2 linked regions of the Astyanax mexicanus genome follow. The protein of the gene in region 1 interacts with the protein of each later gene in a pairwise test. Links are inferred from orthologs where the notes say so. Each region holds a gene or a part of one and is shown in the gene's direction. Other genes may lie near its edges.

Region 1 (10,590 bases):
ACAAACCACTGTAAATAATGCTGTTTACATCACAACAACTGGACAAAATTTGATGGATTTTTGTTATTGTGTTATGTCTTAGTTTTTCTATTTTCTGGTTTTTTAACCTAAATAAATAATAATAAATCTATAAAGGCATACGGTCATTTTGCACTGTGCTTATGAACAGCAGTGGTTAAGATGTCGACTCTTTTAAGACACGTCTGTCTGAATGTTGACACCGCTTATAGCTTGATTTGTTGTGTCTATACAGTATGCAGTTTTTTTTTATTATTTTGTTATTTTTGAAAGGCACAAACACTCGCACAACCTGTGCTCCTGAAAAACGTGCCCGCCAATGACTGGCATCGAGTGCACCCCGCGCTTTCTCTCTCTCTCCCAGTGTGACGAAACTGTCTCCCCTTTTAAGTGAAGAAGTGTGACATCCCCATTTCCCTTAAGTGCTCTGTGTTTTAGCGTGCTCGCTAATTAGACGGGTAATAGGAGTGGCTCTGATTGGCATTATAAACGCTTCGCCATCGCTCCTCAAACCCTTCACGCCACCAGCCTCCTCTTCTCTCTCGCAGACACTCTCAGAGTTGCCATCAGAGGAATTATCAGAGATAAAAAGACATTATAAAAAAAGATCCTCCCCTGACAGATATTATCATTACAACCTTTTATCAAAAGTACAAACTTGTTTTCTCTCTCTCTGTTCTCTATTTCTCCCCTCTCTCACTCTTTACCTCTCTACTCCCGCTCCCTCCCTTTCGTGCTCTTGCCCTCCCTTCCTCCCCACCTTCCTTCGTTTCATCCCTTTCGCACACCATCCTTCACTCTTTCCCAGGGTGGTTTTTCGGCAGGGAGAAGAAGAAGAAGAAGAAGAGAGAGAGAGAGGAAAAAGGGGGAGCAAGCGAGCGAGCAAGCTTGTGAGAGGGGATAGAGAGAGATAGAGAGGGAGAGAGAAAAAAGAGCGGGAGATGGAGGGAGGCAGAAAAAAAGAAGACTGAGCTCTGTCAATTGGAGTGAGCGCACTACTAAGTCTGGCTTCACTACAAAGGTTAGCAGATCTGACTGTCAATACTGTCAGAGGGATGGAGTCTTTGGGAGAAGGAGGAGGAGGAGGCGTGGAGGTTAGGTGGTGATGGTGGTGGAGGAGGTGGAGGTGGTGGTGGAGGGCGGGGTGGGGGGAGAGCAGAGCAGGAGGGTTTTTGCTTTGAGAGAAAGAGATACTTTGATATTTCGGAATGTTGGAAGGGTGAATGTGGAGAGCTGGAGGTTGGGGATCTAATTACCGGGCCATAATTGGGGGCTGGGGAATAGGTTGCCGTCCTCTCAACTCGCTGCAGATCAATTATGTTAAGAGAACATCTGTAAGTAGAGCTTAATGAGGTCCATTAGAGCAACATGCGCTGCCTTCCCTAACGGTGCTTGTCAGCTTCTTGGATGAGCTGGAGCGCGCTGCTAACTAGGGACCTGCTGGAAGGTGCTTAAATAGGGCCGGCTCAGGTCCGCCTCGACTCTGCTGCCAGAGAGAGGAGAGGAGAGGACAGGGGAAGAGAGGAGAGGAGAGGAAAAGAAGAGAGGACAGAACAGGAGAGGACAAAAGGGAAGAAAACAGGAAGTCGGTCGTTTTTGCGTGGAGGAGAAAAGACAGAAAGGAGAAAGGAAATAAGAAAAATAAGTAAAGGAAACGGACTGCTTTCTGTTTGTGAAGAAGAAGAAGGAAGAGGAGGAGAAAGAAGAGGGGATCGAGTCCAGGCTTAGACCTGAAGAGTACCGGCTTGGCTGCTGCTTGTTTCGCTCGGTACAGTATCCTGAAGATTTTCCCCTCTTTATACACTCAGTCTAGAGTTGCCTGTGCAAAAAAAGGGAAAAAGGGGGTGGAGCATTGTGTCCTGTTATGATTTATATGTAAGACTTGTGCAAGTGTTTGGACAAAGTTTGTGTGTTTGCTAACTTTGCCACCATGGAAGTCTGATGAGTAGCCTAAAATCTAAAATTGTAATGGTGGTGGTGGGGGCTGGATGTTGTGGATGAGTTTTGTGTGACAGAAGGTGCAGTAACGTGGTCACAGGGCATTGCTTGCATTTTTGATTGGAAGCTTAGTGCACAAGAGCCATAGCCTGGTTGGTTGTACTGAGATGTTTCTATCACCTTGCGCTGTAGAGAGTGAGAGATTGTGTGTGCACATGCGTGTGTGTGAATGTGTGCCTGCACTTGCAAGTTGCATGCGGGTTTGCATGTTATAACTTTATGCACCTTTAGATTTCCTCTCTCTATCTCTCTCTTTCCTATATATACACACATATACCCATACACACGTGTGTGTACCGTACTGCTGCCCAGCTCATCTCTCCACATAACTCACATATCTGTGCTGAATAATTGACGTGATAATGCGCGAGATGAAGTGGTCGTTGGGGGGAGGGGTGCGAAAAAGAGAGAAGAGCCAGTCTCGCGCTCTCCATCTCTCTCTCTCTCTCTCTCTCACTCTCTCTCTCTCCCTTTGCGTCTCTCACCCCCGCAAATTGCATGATTACGCAGATAGCCCGCTTTGAAATAATTCAATCCATGACAAAACCTAATTACAGCCAGGTAATACCCTGTCAGCTTTAATGCATCTCATCACTCATAATGGTGGCGAGGAGCGTTTTATGACCCATCTCATTAGTGCTGCGCTTTAGTCACAGTGATTGGCAAGAGGCCGCCTGCCAGGACTACCGGTGGACTCGCTAACTCTGACCCCATCTCTTCACCACCCTCGTCACCTCACCCGCAGACTGATGGGAAATAAAAGAAAACAAAAGCAAACTTTCTGAGATCCAAGCTATTACCTGTTAGGCTACACTATAGGAGTGTTTTTACAGTTTGTGTGGAGTAATTATGGACTAGGTGTGAACAAAAGCGTTGTTTAATAGCGAAGTATCACAATATTGTAATGTTTTGGATTACTGTATTAATTCTCAAAACCACAGTGTCTGATTAAAGCATCGCTGGCAGACAGTGGTTCATATTATGATGTCCCCTCAGATTTCACTCTTCTGACTAATTGAAACATAAGCTTTTCATTTTCTCAGATTTTATACTATTGGCAGTTTTATCTAAATTTTGATAATAAAAAAATCTCAGTATATCGTCTTGCTTACAGTATTGCGATATATCACAAAATATTGAATCACAACACCATTCCGCCATACCTATCACCAGGTTCTTACCAATACAAAGCCCTAATATGGACATCAATAGGCACTCACTGAGGGGGGTAAACACCGAGTTTGAGCTTCAGAGACACGTACACAAGCATGCACATGTTTACCAGTGGAAATCAATTATATCTGCAGTAGCATGAAGTGTAAGCACACTGAGAACACTCAAAAAAAAGAGATGTGCCAAAAATTACAGAATGTCAGCACTGTTTCACAGTGAGTAAGTTTACAAGCAAACAATAAACCCAAAAATGTGTCATTGTGTCATTGCTGCATAAAATAGGGTAACTACAGGGTAACAAAAATAGGGTAACTACAGGGTAACAAGAGAGCAAATTGTAGGCTAATTAAATTAGAATTGAGAAGCAAGGTAAATAAACATTACAAATAATCTATGTGTTGCAAATTAGACACTGTCTTAGGAATGTGTTAAAATTAAAATTCCTGAAACAATATACGTAAAATGGACAAATTACCTCTTAGAGTGCAAGAAAACTAATTGTTCTATTCTGTCCAGGCAGTTAGTAAGTTAGTAGTCGGACCTTGGCCTGCAAAGTTGATACAATTTTTGGAATGTCGTTAAAAAAGAAGGCCTTTGACATTTAACATGACTCAGGTACCATTCTGACTATATGTAGCCTATATAAAACTTCATATTATAGTCTCTATCAGAGTGCACTCTCAGAAAAAATACTCTTCAGTACTATATTTACACAATTGTTTTACCCTAGTTTTAGGGGACATTGTTGGGCTTAAAGGATCATGCTGTACCTTTAAGGGTACATTTGCACTTTGATGAAAAAAAAGCCTGTTAAAGCACCTTTTATTTAGAAAGTGTGTTGTGGTCCTGGATGGCACGTGCACACTTTTTACAGAGCTTGAATTAGTTGCAGACTGAAAGAGAGAGTAAAAAGCGAGAAAGGTGAAGAGATAGATAGCAAGATAGTAAACAAAAACCTGTTTAGGCAGAGTAGACTGACTAGCAGAGCCGTTTATATACATGCGCGCGTCTCGACATCCACCGCACGCGCGCCAGAGAGCGAAGAGAGAGCGCGCGCGAGAGTGGTGTAGAGACAGACGGACGCACGCTCGCTCGCTAGCACGCGCGCGCGCTCCCTCACTCACGCAAGCTCACACGCACGCACGCACACACGCACGCGACTCCGACTATCAGTTATAAGTGAACGACCTTTTCCTCGCCGTGTAAAACGTCTCTCTTTTTGCTGGTTTACAGTAGTCACTCAGTAACGCAGTGCGTAAAAGAAGCTCGCGACTCGCGGCTGCGCGTGCACCGGTGCGCTGCTCCGTGTCTAGTCCAGCTTGTGTGCGCGTGTGTGTGTCTATGAGGGCTCGCGCGAGAAGAACACCTGTAGCTGCGTGTCCGAGTCGCGGGTTGTACCTCCATCCATGTGGACCTCGCTGTTTTACACCTGAAGATTCGCAGTCGTCCGGCCGCCGCGGCGCCATGTGGGTCTCGTGAACTTTATCAGTGTTGTTTTTCTGCTCGGAAAGATCAGAGAGTTGGGGGGAGTGAGATCGAGCCCGGAGTGAACCTTCTGCTCAACTTGGTCAAGAAGGTGAGTGGGGGGCAGCGGGGGGTGGTCGGCGGAGGACAAGACTTTGGTTCACTTTAGGCTTTAGTTTTAGCTAAGAAAAGTCACATTTTTAACACCTTCTTGTGAATGTGCTTGTAGAGCTAATAGGCTTCATTAGGTTTTATTAGTAGTATCTTATATAGGAACTATTAGGAACAAAAACAAAAGGCAGAACCTTTCAGACTTAGGTTTAAGTTACATTTATACATACATACATACATACATTTTGCAACGTTTTCAGCATGTTTTAACGCATGTCAGTATGTCTGTTTTTAAAAAAGAGTTATAGCATTATTTTCTAGAAGTTTCTTGTGTTTTTATATAGATTATATGTGCTTAAACAGAGTTGTTAATGTGTTTACTTTTCCACTTTTCTTTAACATTTTCTTTTTTTATGTCTTTATTAAGGGACTTTTTAAATGACTATTTCTTTTATTGGACAACAAAACAGCAGCTAGATGCCAGATGCATAAAACACCGGCATTTAGAAAATGTTTGTATCTGTAATATTTTATCTGTTACAAACATCAGCACTATTTTGGAGTAGATAAATAGCTGAAAGCTGAAATTTTCTTTTATAAAGGCATATATAAAATAATGTAATGTTTTCGTAATTACGTGTGTATGGACGTAGATCGGTTTTAGTATGTGATGGTTTTGTTGTTACTTTTTATTATTATCAGTATCCCACGTTATTTATTTCAACCAAACGCTTTGTAGCCTATACTGTTGTCGTTCAAAAAATAAAAACGAGTAAAAAGTCATCAAGACAATCATTATCATCATGATTATCATCATCATCTCCTCACTATAAACCAGCATAAACACACGAAACACACGAGCTGCTGCTTCTGGTGGTGGTGCTGCAGCGGCTGCTGCTCCGCTCGGTCCCCCTGTTTGTTTTGTGTGTGAGTGAAGCGGCGGCAGGATTATAGTGTGAGGGCGCCGCGGAGGGGTTTGCCTGAGCGTGTACGCCTTTGTGGTCCGCTGTCATTTTGCTCGCCGTCACTCCGCGCGCGGCTGCTGCGCTTCTGCTGCTGCTGGATCTAATTTCATAGTCGAGCTCTGCTCGTGACGAGACGCGCGGTGTTAGTTAGTTAGGGCTAGCTATATCAGCGTGTGGCGCGAGTCTATCTCTCCCTCTTTCTCTCCATCTATTTCTCTCGTTCTGTCTCTCCTTCTCTCTTCTCCGTGGCTCTACCCTCAGCAGCAGCGGCGGAGGTCCGGCTGGGCTCCGTTGATTGGTGTTTTCCTCGTTTCTCCCTCTTTCTTCTCTGAGGGAAGTGAGGCGACGCTGGATTTGTTAGCTAAAGCTACTTCTAACAAAAGCGAACCGCCCTCAGAGAGAGAGAGAGGGAGAGAGAGAGAGTGTGTGTGAGTAAGAGAGAGAGTGTGCGTGAGTGAGAGAGAGAGAGAGAGAGAGAAAGAGAGAGAGAGAGAGCGCACGCGGCTGCTCACTTTACGAAGACCGGGGGGGAAGCCTGGGCTCGCACCTCCTCTTGTTGCATGGTGTGTGTGGTGGCGGTGTTTTTGGACGAGCTGAAGCGGGTCGACCAATGCAGAAAAGGGAGAAAAGTTTCGGTAAGAGCTTCACTCTCTCCTTTTTCAGGTAGATTTATTGTTCTCTTACCGGTTGTGACCGTTATATCCGCGAGACAGCCGTTTCTGTGCTGTAACGTTATAGTTTCGTTGGCGTCTCCGTACGTTTCCTTTCTCCATTGATTTTCCTCTTTTTATTTATCGTGAGATTTTGTCTTGTGTGTCGTGTGTTTTCTTTTCACCAAAAACGTGCTGTAATTATACGTCTCACACTCTTCCGAATCGCATTTTCCTCCTGTGTTTGTGTGTGTTTACGTTTTTTAGTGTGTCTTAACGCTTAACGTTTCTCGTTTTCGTTTCTCGTTTTCGCTCGCGAGCTGATTTGAAACGCGTTTAACGCTCCCTGAGTTTAACGGTCGGGCTCCGTTCGCGTCGCGAGCCGCTTCGAAAATTGCCTCCTCTGTAGCAGATCTTATTGGCCTTTTCCAAGCACCGCGCTGCCATGGCAACCGTAATTAAAGTGATAAGCGGGTGAAATGTCAGCATCTCCGGCTCGCGCAGCTGTGACGCGCTTGAACGGAGGAGGGACGGGGATGAGGAGGAAAGGGGGGCAAATTGGTACTTTTTACCCAAGTCTCGCTCGAACCCTTAAAACCGTTCAAAAAACGCACGCGGTGCTTCAAGCAGAGCATGAGAGGAAAAATTGGGGATGAGCACAGACAGTGAGGGACCTCATCTGTGTGAACTGTTAGTGCTAAAATATAGACATAAAGGCATAAAGATAATAATAATAATAGATAGATACATGTAAGGACAGTCACAAGATAGGACAGTGTGTTTTATATTGGTTTTTGGTGTTGTGTTTTCTGGGAAATCCCAGAAAAGAAATGATAATAATTTGAGAAATCAGTCCACACACAAACTCCCAGACTGGCCATCTGGAGGCAGAGCACTAAAAGAATAGGGTCTGCATCAGAAACCAATACTACAGTACAGTACAAAGATTATACCGCAGGACTGCACAATATATCGTTTTTGCATTGACATCGCGAGAAATGTAATGTCATGTAAGGCAAACATCTATTTCTTACTTTTTGCCCAAACAACAGACATGCTCAAACAAACCCATAAGAACCTTCACAACACATGCTGGTGCTTCAGGGATCTCGTCTAGGTGAAGAGTTTGTGCTTAAATACAGGCATAAAAAAAATAATAATAGTTAGATATATGTACGAACAGTTGCAGGTTAGGACAGTGCTCCTTAGACTGGTTTGTGTTGTGATGTCTGGGAAAACTAGTTTGAGAAAAAACTCCCAGACTGGCCATCTGTAATGCAGAGCACTAAAAGAACAGGTTCTGCATCTAAAACCAATACTAAAGTAAAGTACACATATTATACTGTTCCATGTACTGTTCAAGGCATTGTTTTTGCATTGGCATCGCAATTGGCAGATTCATAATAAAATAGTCACATCTCAGGACATGTTGCGTTGAATGTCATGTAAGGCAAACATATATTCGTTGCTTTTTGCCCAAGACATGCTTAAACAAACCCCTAAAAACATTCACAACACATGCTGGTGTTTCAGTAGGACATAATTGGAAAGACTGGGGAAGAGCACAGACAGTAAGAGATCTCGTCTGGGTGAACTGTTCGTGCTGAAATACAGGCATAAAAAAATAAATAATAGTTATATATATGTAAAGACAGTTGTAGGTTAGGACAGTGCTCTTTAGACTGATTTGTGGTGTGTTTGTCTGGGAAAACCGAGAAAAAATAATAAATAATACTTAAAGAAATTAATCCACACAAAGACACACAGACTGGCTTTCTGAAGGCAGCGCACCAAAATAATAGAGTCTGCATCCAAAATCAATACAATATTAAAGTACACATATTATATTGTTCAACTTAGGACTGCACAATTTATCGGTTTTACATTGGCATCGATATGTGTAAATGCGTAATAGAATAGTGACATCACGGGATGTCATGGAATGTCATGTAAGGCAAACTATCTAATTGTTACTTTTTTACGTCTAATTGTTAAGGCTTGCTCAAAACCTAAAAACCTTCAAAACACATGCTGGTGCTTTAGTAGGACACAAGAGAAAAGGCTGAAGCTCAGTGTGTATGTAGTGTGCTAGTGACATTTAGTGTCTAAATATACACACACACACACACATATATGTTTATATTGCACTAATTCACGTATTGGTGGTGTATTTTTCTAGCAAATATGTATTACTTTTACTGCACTGACATACTATTCATTATAGTAGTGGCCATGTTGTACTAATGATTTTACTTTAAATGGTGATGTGCCATCTTAATCTGCTACGTATTGTACTACAAATGGTGATGTACTGTTTTGATGTACCATTCTGAATTGTACTATTCATAATGTACCAATTAACATGTTTAAATTATGTTCTATTTTGATGTATTACTCAGTATTGGTGTTATGTATTGTACTAATGAAAGTACTGAATAATGAAAATACAGCACCACATACATGGTGTTGTACAACACTGACAGACTGTTAAGTTTTTCTAGCATGCAGTTTTGGATGCAGCGTAGATTTATTAATTTATTCATTCATCAGAAATATACTGATACGTATTGTTCCAATATGCATATTACATATAACTGTAGCATACTTCTTTGTTATACTTTTCTTATGTTTCTTATATTATTCTGCATAGTTTACAAATTAATATACTCATATGTTGGCATATTGTTCTTACTTACTTAGTAACTTTGTATATTGTTGTTGTTCAATGAAAAACAAGTATCTCCATTTTTGTTGATTTTAGTTTGCTACATAATTTGCACAAATAAACTGTCACGTACACTGTGCCAAAATTTCTTAATGAACAGACCAATAGAAATACTTTAAAATGACCTGAAATAAACTGTACAAGTTTGAATGTTTTTGCTCTCTCTTGTAAAGTTGCTGTTATGGAAGTGTTTAATTTTCATTGGACAGCGATGATATATATTGTACTTATGAACAGGATGTTTATTTTACTGACTATGAATTATCTTATTATCTTTATTAGAAAACATATGTTAACTCACTCTAGTTTTGATACATATTGTAATAGTATTTAGACATACATACAAATATACACGCCAGTGTTCGTGTACTTTCGGATGTACTACTCAGTATCACAATGTACACACTGATCTAATGAATGTACCACACATTGTGATGTACTACTTCGACAGACTGTTTATTATCTCAGTAATAATCACAGGATAAGAGACGCATTCATCAGAAAAAGACTGTCGACTCAAACTAGTTCTGAGACATATTGTTCTAATAAATCTGCATAATTGGGTCTTTGCTGTTTTGACATTCTATTTAGCGTTTTTGTAAAAATCCTATTCTAAGAAATGTGCTCAAATTGGAGCGTACAGTTATGCTATTTCATTTCTTTGTAAACATATCGTACCAATGAACGTACTCATGACTTATGGAGTATTACTGCTGACATGCTGATGAGCATGTTACTGTGCGGTTCTGGACACAGCCTATAGCCTATAGGAGATGCATGTGTCAGAAAGGGACAGTCATCTCAGACTAGTTCTCGGGCAGAAGTAAGAGGAGTGTAAAAACTGGAACTTTTTTGGCTGGGTAATGAGAGGCGGCGGCTGTGTTGTGTTCCCCGGGCTGGTGCGGATGAGTGCTGCTGAAGAGGAAGCTCACATAGCAGAGGCGATCAGCCGTGCGCTCCTCTCACACACTCACCATCCAGCCAATTAAAAGCTCAACGGCTTAAATGCAATGGCTTCGCTCATTACCGCAAACAGAGTGGCAGTCCTTTTCTGCTTTCTTTCTTTTTATACAAATGCTTCACTTTTAATCAGCTCCTTAAAAAAAACTTCTGAGCAAAGCAGCGTTTTGTTTGCATTCAGATGACAAATGTGTTGAAAGGGGTTTGTGGCCTTTGGATGGTTTGCACATTCACATCTGTGCATTTCCACTTTCTTTTTTGGCTTTCTTCCTTTTTTTGCCATCCCTTTAACTTACAAATTCCTGCAACTTTAGAACGGCTCTGGAGCGGAGCGGGTTGTAGCATGGTGCTTTGCTCTGGCTTGTACAGGATTACATGTTTGTTACTAAGTGATAGTTGGACCTTGTGTACCTGAAATAGATTTGCTTCGGAGGTGTGTTTGCCTAAATCTCACAATTTTAAAACATTTTTCAGCCCACTCGCCCTTTTTGCCGAATCTGTAGTGTACAGTCAGTTGGCATGGAGA
Region 2 (11,210 bases), on another chromosome or scaffold:
GGAGAAAATGACTTAACCCTGACCTGCACATTACGTCCCATATTCACTCCAGATAAAAGCCTTTTTACAGCGGGCCCCCCACAATTTATATTCCACCAAGGAGGCCGCTTCTCTCTGTCACTTTTCCAATCTCGGGCTCCCTCAACACACGTCATTAAACTTGTCGTGCCTTCCTGTATTTGTCCATCAGTCCTTCCTTTTACATAAAAGCTGGCAGCATTATTCTTGGCTTTGATGGCGCCAACTCATTTTTCCCCTACGGAATGTTTGATTGGAAGAAATATAGCCCGGGCCGGCCGACCCTATCTCCTCTTCCCTCTCTCCAGGAGGAATCATGCGCTTGATGAAATAGTGTTCCCCCAGCAAGAATAATAAAAACAGACTTGTGCATTACGGGCCGCTCTCAATCTGCCAGGCTGGGGCCATGCCGAGGCGAGAGAGAGCCCCCTGACCGAGTTTTATAGTTATACGGGCAGATAAATAGAAAGCGGTGAGCAGCTTGGGTGGAGGCCACAGCCGAACGCAGCGCGGGGCGAAGGCAGGGCCATCATGGCTACAGTGAGCACTTTCACACTGAGAAAAATGGCATTTCCCATCATACCTTTCTGAGCTTCCTCTGAACACCATACTTAAACAGTATGAAAGTAAAGTAGCTCTCAGACACCATGGCAGAATTCTGCCTTTACTGTAGTGTAAAGCAGGGGTCGGCAATAGGTGGCCCGCAAGCATGAAACATCTGGCCCGTGAGGTTGTTTGAACTATAATTAATGATATTGAAAAAAAGTGTGTTTTTCACCCATTCTTGGGCTCCCTGTCTCATTATAAGGGCATTTTTTTCTGACCGTTTCCCAATTCACTAGCTGGGGGAGCACACATGAGGAGCGATGTGTTTATTTTTTTTTTTTCCTGTCTTCTTGGGTTTACCTGCTTTAAAATCAACTATTTTGCAATTGGGTTCTACAACCCTCTGGGCTTGGGAGCTACTAGTATGTAGCACTCCATCCCTTTAAACTTTATTTTCCAAAACACTTTATTTTTTGTGGTCCACCATGTAATGGCTTGGAAAATATCTGGCCTGTTGCCAAACTTATGGTGTTGCAAAGTGGTTGAAACTGTATGTGATTGCTAGGCACAATGCTCTTTCAAGTGGTTGCTAGGTGGTTGATATCACATCCCAGGTGGTTGCTATTGTGTTCTTGGTGGTACAAGGGGGTTGTTATAATGTTTCACAGTGGTTTTTATAGTATGCCAGGTGGTTACTAGGATGTTGTTAGGAGGTCACTACGGCATCTCAAGGGGTTGTTATGATGTTGCTAAGTGGGTGATATGTGGTTGCCAGAGGGTTGCTAGGTGGTTGCTATAGCTTCCCCAAATAGTTGCTATGATGTTTGTAAGTGGATGGTAGATGGGTGTTCCAGAGTGGTAATGTGATTGCTATAGTTTTTTCAGGTAGTTGACATGATGTTGCTTAGAGTTTACTGGACTGGACTTACTGTGGTATTCTAGAAGACCCAGAAAGCTTTATCGTCATTCTGTGCATACATCTACTCTCTATATAATGGACTTCTATTTTTCCTTCTCCATTCAGTGCTGTCTCCATGTTAAAAAGAACAATAGTGTTAAATGGGTATCACTGCTGCAACAGCATCAACCAACAAAAAACAATGCCCCTTAAGTGGGCCAGTCTTGTTTGCTGATAGTGTTGCTGATGACAGCTGATGTCCACGGGGAGCTGGAGAGTATGGTGTGTGGACTCTGAATGAGAAACCCAACCACAATGGCTTTATTTCTCCTTTCACTACTCACTGCTCTCAGAGAGTAACACTGAAGTGTCTAGTTATTGTCTGACAAGGCCTATATTCAGGTACTCTGTGGTAATGCTCCATATTATGCAATGGAACATTCTACTGTCACTTTTGTAGTAAGTACATTACCAGTCAAAAGTTTGGACACACACATCTCTTCTCATTCAATGTGTTTTCTTTTTTTATGATTTTTTTTACAATGTTAATTTAATAATTAAGTTAGGTTAACTTTAACATGCTAAATCATTCTGTAAACATAAAGTTTTAAACAAACCACCCTGCTAAAAATCCAGCTTAAGACCAGCTAGCCATCCAGAAAATCATACCCTATGCTGGTAGCTGGTTTTAAGTCTTTTTCTTAAAAGAGCAGAATATCTTTTATAATTTTGCCACATTTAGCTTTGAGGACAGGCTATGTATTTTCCCAGTGTCTTAACAACCTTTAAAGGGGACATATCCATTTCTGTATGTTAAGGGAACAAATGTAAAAAAATGGAAGAAATGACTACAAGATCATCGTCAGACCATATCTAACATTAAATTTAAGGAAGCCTTTACAGCACTAGACTAAACAAGCAACACTCTATAATTAGCCCCAGTGTCTGGAAAATGTTCTCACATTTGAGCTCTGCAGCTTCTAGTATTTTTACTTTTGCACTAAAATGAATTTCCGTGGGTCGAGATTATGAAGAGGCTGTAACTTATACAACTTTTAGGTCAGGTTTTAAAAAAGCCTTTAATGGCATTTAGATGACATTTAATGGCAATTAGGCTATATGAAATACTCCTACACCCCCCCCTCCTCCCTAACTCTCGTCCCAAAAAGTACAACCATCCCTACATATTGTATCCGTACCTGAAGCTGTATAAAAAGTGCATTGTGATGTGTTCAAACAGTGGAGGAACGGGAATAAAAAAAATGGAACAAGTCAGAGGTAGCAGCTCCATTTTTTACAGTATAAAAGTTTTGCAAGGTCGTTGAAAGAGTCACGATACTACACAATACCTGCATACAAATATGCTCCCTTGTTCCACAAGTCATGACACGGTGGCTCTTAAAACGATCATTATTACCATACAAATAGACAGATCTATTTAACAACCGGCTTTTTATCGCATAACAGTTATTCTTTAGTGTTGTGCCTTGAAAGGGATTGAAATGCAGCTCCCCCCCTTCTTGCTGGGGAACGTCTTAGCCTTGATAAAGGCTTGGAGCAATAGATGGAGCAAGGCTGACATCTTCTTAAGAGATGATAGGAGAGCCAAATCAAATAGGATGGAGCAGTCACTCTCTGTGCAGATAGGTAGTTCATTTCACCGGCTCTGCGTTGGCATCCCCAGTGACTCCCTGCCCGGGGAAGATAGCTTACTCGGACTTCATTCATTATTCCAACCCCAGCCTTTTCAGTGCTTCTAAACGCTCCCCTTTTGTTCTAAGCTGGGGCGTATTTTCCTCACTCTGATGAGAATCTCGAAATTTCGGTTTGCGGACCAATATGCATTATCACCGGCTTTCATTTTATGTTCGAGAGTGGAGCGAATTCAATTATATTTTGTGATACATAATCGAGTGCAAATGAATGAGTTGAGTTGTGTCTTTTGAAACAATGGAGCCTTGGTTATCCTCCGTAAATGTTTTTCTTGCCCCTTGAGGTAAGATGTGTGGGATGGATTTTTAAACACTTTCCCTGAAATAACTTTTTTTTAACAGTTTAAAACTCTGATTACTTTGCACATGCATGATGCATAATCCTTTCCTGGGATATTTATTTATAGGAAAATGTATATTTTAAGATATTTAATAGTATTTAATATTATATATTATTTATAAATATAACAGAAACCAATGTCAAAGTTTGGGCATCTTTGGTGAAATGGCAAATTTTGTTATTTATTTTAATTGAGAAAACTGTAGCTGTATAAAACACAAATTATTCAAATAAAAAAAAAAACCTTTTATATCATAGAAATAATAAAAACTCAGCTGAAACCAAACATTAATGTATTCAGTGCAAATGTCTGTGCACCCTACAGTGTTAGGACTAAACACATTTTGGAGCCAGATAATGGTCTTTTATTATTCTGTTGTAGGAGCCATCCTCATTTCAACTTCAACGTTTTCACAGCCACCAGTGCAGTCTGACAGTTGACAAGGTGTTCTCTTCATGAATGGTGGTACATATATTTTTTAAACTGTACAATTGTTGATTGAGTTTTAGTTAGACTTATGACTCACCCACAACTCATGTGCAGTGCAATGCTGCACAGTAGAACGGTGCACAAAACGAGACAGGATTTTAACACTATATATATATTTATTAATTTCAAAGATGAAATAGATGATTGAAAATATTTTATCTGACTGAAACTCACAAAATACAAAACTGCAGGTCGCTCTGCAGTTTCCACTATTAAGAGAATGTGTGGGCGGAAACACAAGATTTGGTGGACCATACAATTAACGGAACAAGGAACAGTGTGTTAAAGTCAGCAGATACAGAGACGCAGGTGTTTGTTTGTGTAAAAAGCAGACCAGCAATGCTGTTTGCCACCCAAAATGACCAAACATTTGTTTTGGTTACCTGTGTATAAGTCTCAAGAGACACATTTAACACCTGACAAGAAATATTGTGCTGTTTTAATCTTGCAAGATCTCCTGGAATGTGATCTCAGCACACCCCTACTAATTGGGTTTACTGATGACTGCTGCAAAGTGCACAGATCTACAAAAAGTAGAGTCAGAGGCAGAATTATCAGTCATGCTCTTCATTTTTGCAGAAATAAATGCTACCATAACTCTGCTTTTGTGGACAAATTTATAGCATGCAACATTTCCAGTTGAAGCTTTAGCATTTTAGAGACAAAGAGCAAGTAACGTCCAAATGATTCATATGTTCTGTTCAGCAGCACTGGAGACTTTTCTTTCTTTCCTTTTTTATTAAGTTTTTAATGTGTCTTATTTTTAGTAAAAGTAGTAGTTTCACAGTTTCGCTGTGTGCTGGTTATGCTGGTTATTATATCGGATCTAAAGTTCTTTTTTTAATCAGTCTGAAATGAATGAATGAATTAATGAATAAATAATTTCTTGATCAATTCCGTAGAGCCCTTTAAAGGTGCACTGGGAAGTCTTCGCACAAAAGCATCTCTTGTACAGACCTTAATGAACAGTGGAATTACAAAGTAGATGAATTAAAAAACTATCACCTGTCCCTGCCCAAACAATGTACTAATGAGAAATTAGCAAAGTGGAAGAAACAATGAATGCTAAATGCTGTGTGACGCAGGCTCTGGCCTGACAGGCTAAATTGAAACTGCGTATCCTGAGGGGGCAAGGTTTCTAAATTGCTAATTATTAGTCCTGAAAGGGATCTGATTCTGATATGTTTGCCTGTGAAAAGGCAGATGCTGAATGAAGCAGCGGTGGAGTCCCTCTGGTGTTTCAGTCGCTCTTCTCCCTGGATGCTCTGGCTCTCCTGAAACAATGAGGGCCCCTGAGCCTGTGTGTCCCGCAGGCCTGGGTGAGCGGAGGCCTGGGGGCTGGGTACTGAGGGAGCCGGTCTGCAGCACAAAATGTGGAAGGGACAGATAAGGGCTTAGCCGCTCACTGAGGCCCTCTCCCAGGAGCCCAGGGGGAAATTTGCAGTTATTAAGAGGAAGATGAGAGAGATTAAATGGTCTTTGTGCTCTTGTTCACTGAGTTTCTTTTTCCCTTATTTTTTTAGTTCACCCCCCTTTCCTTTTTTTAGTGTGTGTATGGGAGGGAAGTGAAGAATGTATGGCAAAAGTAGTAATTATTACTACATAAATTCAGGATTACTTTTTAAGCACTTCATTTATACACACAGGTGTTGAGAAAATAATAATAAAGTAATATCAGTAGTGTATGTGCACTGCAGCTAATTTATTTTCTTTTTTTTTCTAAAAAGAGTTTAACACTGCTCTGTGTTAACTAGAACTCCCTACTGACTAAAATATTAGAACTAGAACTATCAACTGACAAAATACATTGGAAAAAAGTGATTGCTGTCTGTAATTTTTGTTTCTGTACTTTTCTTTTCTTTAATTTTACTTGTTTAAAGGACATGTGCTAATTTGTCTAGCATTTTTTTTTCATGTATGACATTTATGTGCATTTATTTAACAAAAACACTTGTCATTAAAATTTTTGGTATAACCTTAGTCATATTGACGTAAAGTACTGCAAATATTACTCTACCACATCTGTCCACACGCTTCTCTCAGTTCAGATGTCTGTTTCTCTCTGCTTGTAAAATGCATGTAAAAAAGCCTGTCCTTTTTGGACCACTCAGTGACCCCTTTGATACCCCATTTGCACCAAAATAATAGCATTGTAAATAGACTTAATAGAAACAATGTGGTTCTTTTAGCAGCTACTTTAAATGTAATATTATTTTTGAAAAAAGGAAACATAAATAATGAAGGATTTTACAGTTTAGTAACAATTTTAGTAACAGTTTATTAGTTATGTATTGCATTAATTATGTAATGTAATTAGTTATGTTAAATTGAGGGAGCATTTATTTAAATACTTTATTATTTAAAGGGAACAATTGATTCAATTCTGGAAATGGATTGTCAAATTTAGCCTCTAAATTAAGTCCTTTAACATTAATATATCTAAATATATATTATTCATTACCATTTTTTGCAGACTAATAATGGTGCCATGCTGAACTGTTTAGGAGTTATTTTTTATTTCTTGCCCTCTTTATGTGTTTGAGAGCATCAGGTGTGTTGTGAAGAGTTGGTATACAGTAAATAGCCCTATTAGAGTTATGTTTTAATCCATCCATTATGGTAAGAAAGTAGAAATAAAATAGTGCACTTGCTACGATGAAACTAGCTCTCAGTACGTTTAATTTATATAATTTATACAATGTGACTTTATGGATTTTATTTTTTTATATTTTATCTCTCACTGTTAAATTCAACCTTTTTCAATCCTTAAAATTATAGACCATTCAGGTCTTTGTCAATGGGCAAACTTACAAAATCCATATACATATGTTTCCCCCTATTTTATTCATTTAGCAGCTTCGAAATGCTATTATTGATAAAAACATAAAATTAAATATTAAATATGATATAAATATAAATATAAAATATATATATATTTTAATTTGGATTAGCAGAATCAGCTTTGCCTGGAGAGGTGGCGGAAGTGACGCCATGCGCGGGGCGGAAGTCCTTCCCCCGTCTTCAGCTGTGAAAACACAACAGCAGGTTCTGCAGCTGGTGAGTGAGAGGAGCTTAATCAGCGATATCAGCCCATTTAAACCACTTTACACTCTTTATACAGGGTTTATACACGTTATACACGGCTTCTGCTGGGCGTTACACACTGCAGCTCATACTGCCGGCTGACTTTACTCACTGTCTGACTCGCTGTGTGTGCAGGTTTAGTGATAGTGACAGCGTTATCACCGCGCTGTGTGTCGTATTAAATACAGCCTGGCTGCTGTAGAAGTGTATTGTGTATATGTAATGTATATATGTTGTGTATATATGTGCTGCGGTACAGTGTTCTGTGTGACTCCGGGCTGCTGCTTTGTCTTGTGTTGAGAACAGCTGAGAGATAACTAGCGCGTCTCTGCTGTGTTATACTGTGTTATAACCGCGTGTTATACTGTGTTTATACAGTGTTTATAGTGTGTATTGCCCGTGCACTGATAGTGGTGGAGTATTAGGCGGTGTTGTAAATGAGGTACTAGAGGTCTGCGGCGTTTTTAAGCCATTTGTCTCGAAGGACATCCGTGTTATGTAATCCTCAAATGCGCCCGCATTGTTTTGGTCTCTCATTGAGGGTCCCTGACGTCACCTCACGTCAGCAGCAGTGCGTGTTGAGTGCAGTGCAGTCAGTCAGTATAGCAGTGGGTGGACACAGCCCTGAGACCACAGTGCACCACAGCCACAACAACCACCAATCTCAGACCTTTCACAATTAAAGCTTTTCTGACTTTTTTTGGCCAGGCAGTGTAATATCACCATCATTTTGGTTATATTTTTGCAGTAATAACTACAGTCTTGGCAATATGACGAAACACTAAAAATGTTTTATTGATTTAAAAATATTCTACTGCAACAAAATAATAATTCTTAGACACCTTCCTAAAATAATACATTTTTTCAAAATTGTTACAAAACACAGACGCATATGACAATTATTATAGCTATTTAAAATAAGCAATAGTTTAAGAGGATAGTTTATCATACATTCGAGCAGTAGAACCAACCAGAAACAATCTTGATTCAAAACGTATTAAAAAAAATATAAGTTGAAAAGACAATACTTCTATTATCGACTTAATGGTTTTTGAAATTATATTTTTTACTATGTCTTAATGTCTTAATTGTCTATGACACAATATGGCATACCTCTAGTGAATAGTTTTACAACAGATGCATTTTGCTCAGTACTAGGGGTGGGTGATATGGCTCTAAAATAATATCACGATATTTCAGGGTATTTTTGCGATAACGATATACTTGGCGATATAGGAAAACTAAAATAATTCATTCATTTCAGGAATATAGTATAATAGTATAACAGAATAATCATAATGTGGCAAAATGATATAATAATATAGCATAAAATAATATAATGCAGCAAATAATATTACAGGATATTTAGTGCATGCATATAAACTGCAAACTAAAACAATTATACAATAAATACACCTAAAGCTTCCCAGTAAATAATAGACTAATTTTAAGACAAAGCAGCCCTATTATCACGATATGGATTTTTAATATCATGATATTTCTGTGTCACGATATATTGTATACGATATAATATTGCCCACCCCTACCTAAAATAATATATTTTTTCAAAAAATGTATGAATCACAGATGCATATGACTATGCATATGGCTATTTAAAATAAGCAAGGGTTTAAGAGGATAGTTTATCATACATTCGAGCAGTAGAACCATCCAGAAACAATCTTGATTCAAAACGTATTTAAAAATATTAGTTGAAAAGACAATACTTCTATTATCAATATTATCTATTAACATATTGCGTATGACACAATATGGCATACCACTAGTGAATAGTTTTCCAACAGATGCATTTTGCTCAGTACGAATAGAAAATATCCTATGTTGAGGCTGAGTATTTACTGTATAGGGCATGCAGTATGGCATAAAATAATATACATTTTGTAGTGGAAAGTAAAGAAGTAGATGTAATTTGCTACAGTATTTAAGTATTTGGAATATATCTGTTGTGAAAAACATTGTATAGATAATTTTAAACTAAACTTTTAATTGAATTCAATATACTCTGATTAGTGTTGTTTAAGTAATCACAATGGCCACAAAACGCATAGAAAAGCGCACTCATGATGTAGGGTGCAGAGGTTGGTTTAGTGTAGCCCAACTGATAGCAAACATGGGTTTTCCTGCTATGCAGACACAACACTCTACACAATAAGATATTACATGTACCTATCAGTGTAACATAAAACACGATTTTAATGGAAAGAGTATAAAAATAGACTAAAGGTCAATTTAGATCCTGTCATATTGCCCAAAACAGATTGCCCCACTGCTTAGTAGTGTTTTATAAAAGGGTTTGTATTAGATTGTACTGTGTAGTAGTAATACCACTCGCTGCAATGTTTTTATGAATTTGTAATAGTTTTCTAATATTTTTCCATTTGTGACTTTTTGACATAAGTGAATTTGGCAGTTATTCTGTATGTTGTGTCTGCAATGAAAAACTTATAAAAACATATTTTTAAATAAAATGTAAGTTCTGCATTTAAACCTCGTTGTTGTGTTTGGATGGCAGAATTGCTGATATGGAGGAGCTGGTGCAGGACCTGGTGTCGGCACTGGAGCAGACGTCGGAGCAGGCCAAGCTGGATGAGCTGTGGGAGGAGATGGTGCTGAGCCCGCTGCAGCATCGGCGGCAGGTCCGCAGACGAAGGGGGCGCAAGCGACGCTGTGACTTCTCCCTCCACGGGCCGGTGCACGGACGCTGCCTCAGCGAGCCGTCCGAGTCCAGCCTGGACGAGGCCTTCACCAGGGACCACAGGCAGGGTGCTGCAGCCACTGTGGCCATATCAGCAGCAGGTGTGGTGCCTGCTAACTACAGTGATTCAGATGACACTGTCATAGCAAAGCGCTGGTCCTCAGCATCAGTGTCTTTTAGGGCCAGGCAGCACTCCTGGCCAGAGTCGGACTCTTTCACAGAGAACACTCCGGGAAGGCCGCTGCGCAGGCGCCGTAAGGTCAAACGCATGACCTCAGATGTGACCGTGAGCCTGCAGCAGAAGCTGAGAGTGTCTGGGTTGGAACGGGGTGAACAAACCCATCATCATCACCATCACCACCACCATCAGAGGTCGTATAAGAAGCAAAGGTTAGGCCGACTGAAAAAGCGCCCCGGGGCCTGGCCGGGGCAGGATGGAGGCTCTGTTGTGGCCGGAGTGGGAGGCCTGTCTGCAGACTGCTGGAAGGACAAGATTCTGCGCCAGGCCAAGGAGCAGAGGGAGGCATCGGACGAAAACATGTCAGAATGGTATTTCTGCTTATTTCTTTCATTTAACCATTACATTTAAACACCTGAAATTTTATTAAAATTAAATTTAAATTAACAGTAAAATGTTTTTTCCTGATTTATTTACACTGTCCACTATATGTTATGTGATTAAACAGTTCATTGGACTGTAAATGTACTGTAATTTGACAGTTAAACACTTGAAAACTTTTAGTGTTTCAAGTGTTTTATTGTGCATATTATTCCACTTAATAAAATGATTGCCTTTGCTATTTCAGAATTCTGTTAAACATCATAAAAATGCAATTGCAAAACTTTGTAAACATTAAAACAAGGGATACAGAGAGTGCGACAATAAGGAAGACAGGGAGTAGAGAGGTGGTAAGTAGAATAAACTAGCCTACTTTTAAGTACATTGGCAATATAACATTAAGCCTGATGTGGGTCAGTTTCTGCACTGCTCCTCAATACACGTAGGACTTCAAGCACCGTCTGATTTTTATATTAGTACATAATATAAAATAGGCGATTAACGCAAAGAAAGATACTCTTTTGGTAAACAAACAGTGCTAGGCTGTAAGTTGCTCATCTAACAATACTATCCTAGAACTGTACATTTTGTATCTTTCAGCTAGAAAACAGCCAGTTTGTAAAGAGATAATAAACTGAGTAAACTGATACCAAGTGTGATGAGAGATGCTGAACACTTTAATTTGTTTCATTTATTGGGAAGTGTAAAAAAATGAACTTAAAACTGCCATATATTGGCTCTCTTTGCTATAAGTTTTGTAGCACTAGCTGTTAATGAATACAGCTAACAGCATAATTGTAATGCTTTTGTTCTATATCCCGTATTGTAGTTAAGCTGGTACAGACCC

Evidence for each region. The genes of interacting proteins can lie anywhere in the genome.
Region 2: the proteins of lmo3 (region 1) and G patch domain-containing protein 2-like interact in binary tests that used the Homo sapiens proteins (3 or more experiments, as listed by UniProt). The link is inferred for Astyanax mexicanus from reciprocal best matches to the Homo sapiens genes LMO3 and GPATCH2L.

Annotation. Positions count from the first base shown.
Region 1 is NC_064409.1:10,574,339-10,584,928, forward strand, and holds the start of lmo3 (LIM domain only protein 3), read left to right. Parts: upstream 1-5,798; 5' UTR 5,799-6,289; coding exon 6,290-6,392; intron 6,393-10,590.
Region 2 is NC_064421.1:13,980,485-13,991,694, reverse strand, and holds the start of G patch domain-containing protein 2-like, read left to right. Parts: upstream 1-6,977; 5' UTR 6,978-7,061; intron 7,062-9,621; 5' UTR 9,622-9,631; coding exon 9,632-10,353; intron 10,354-11,210.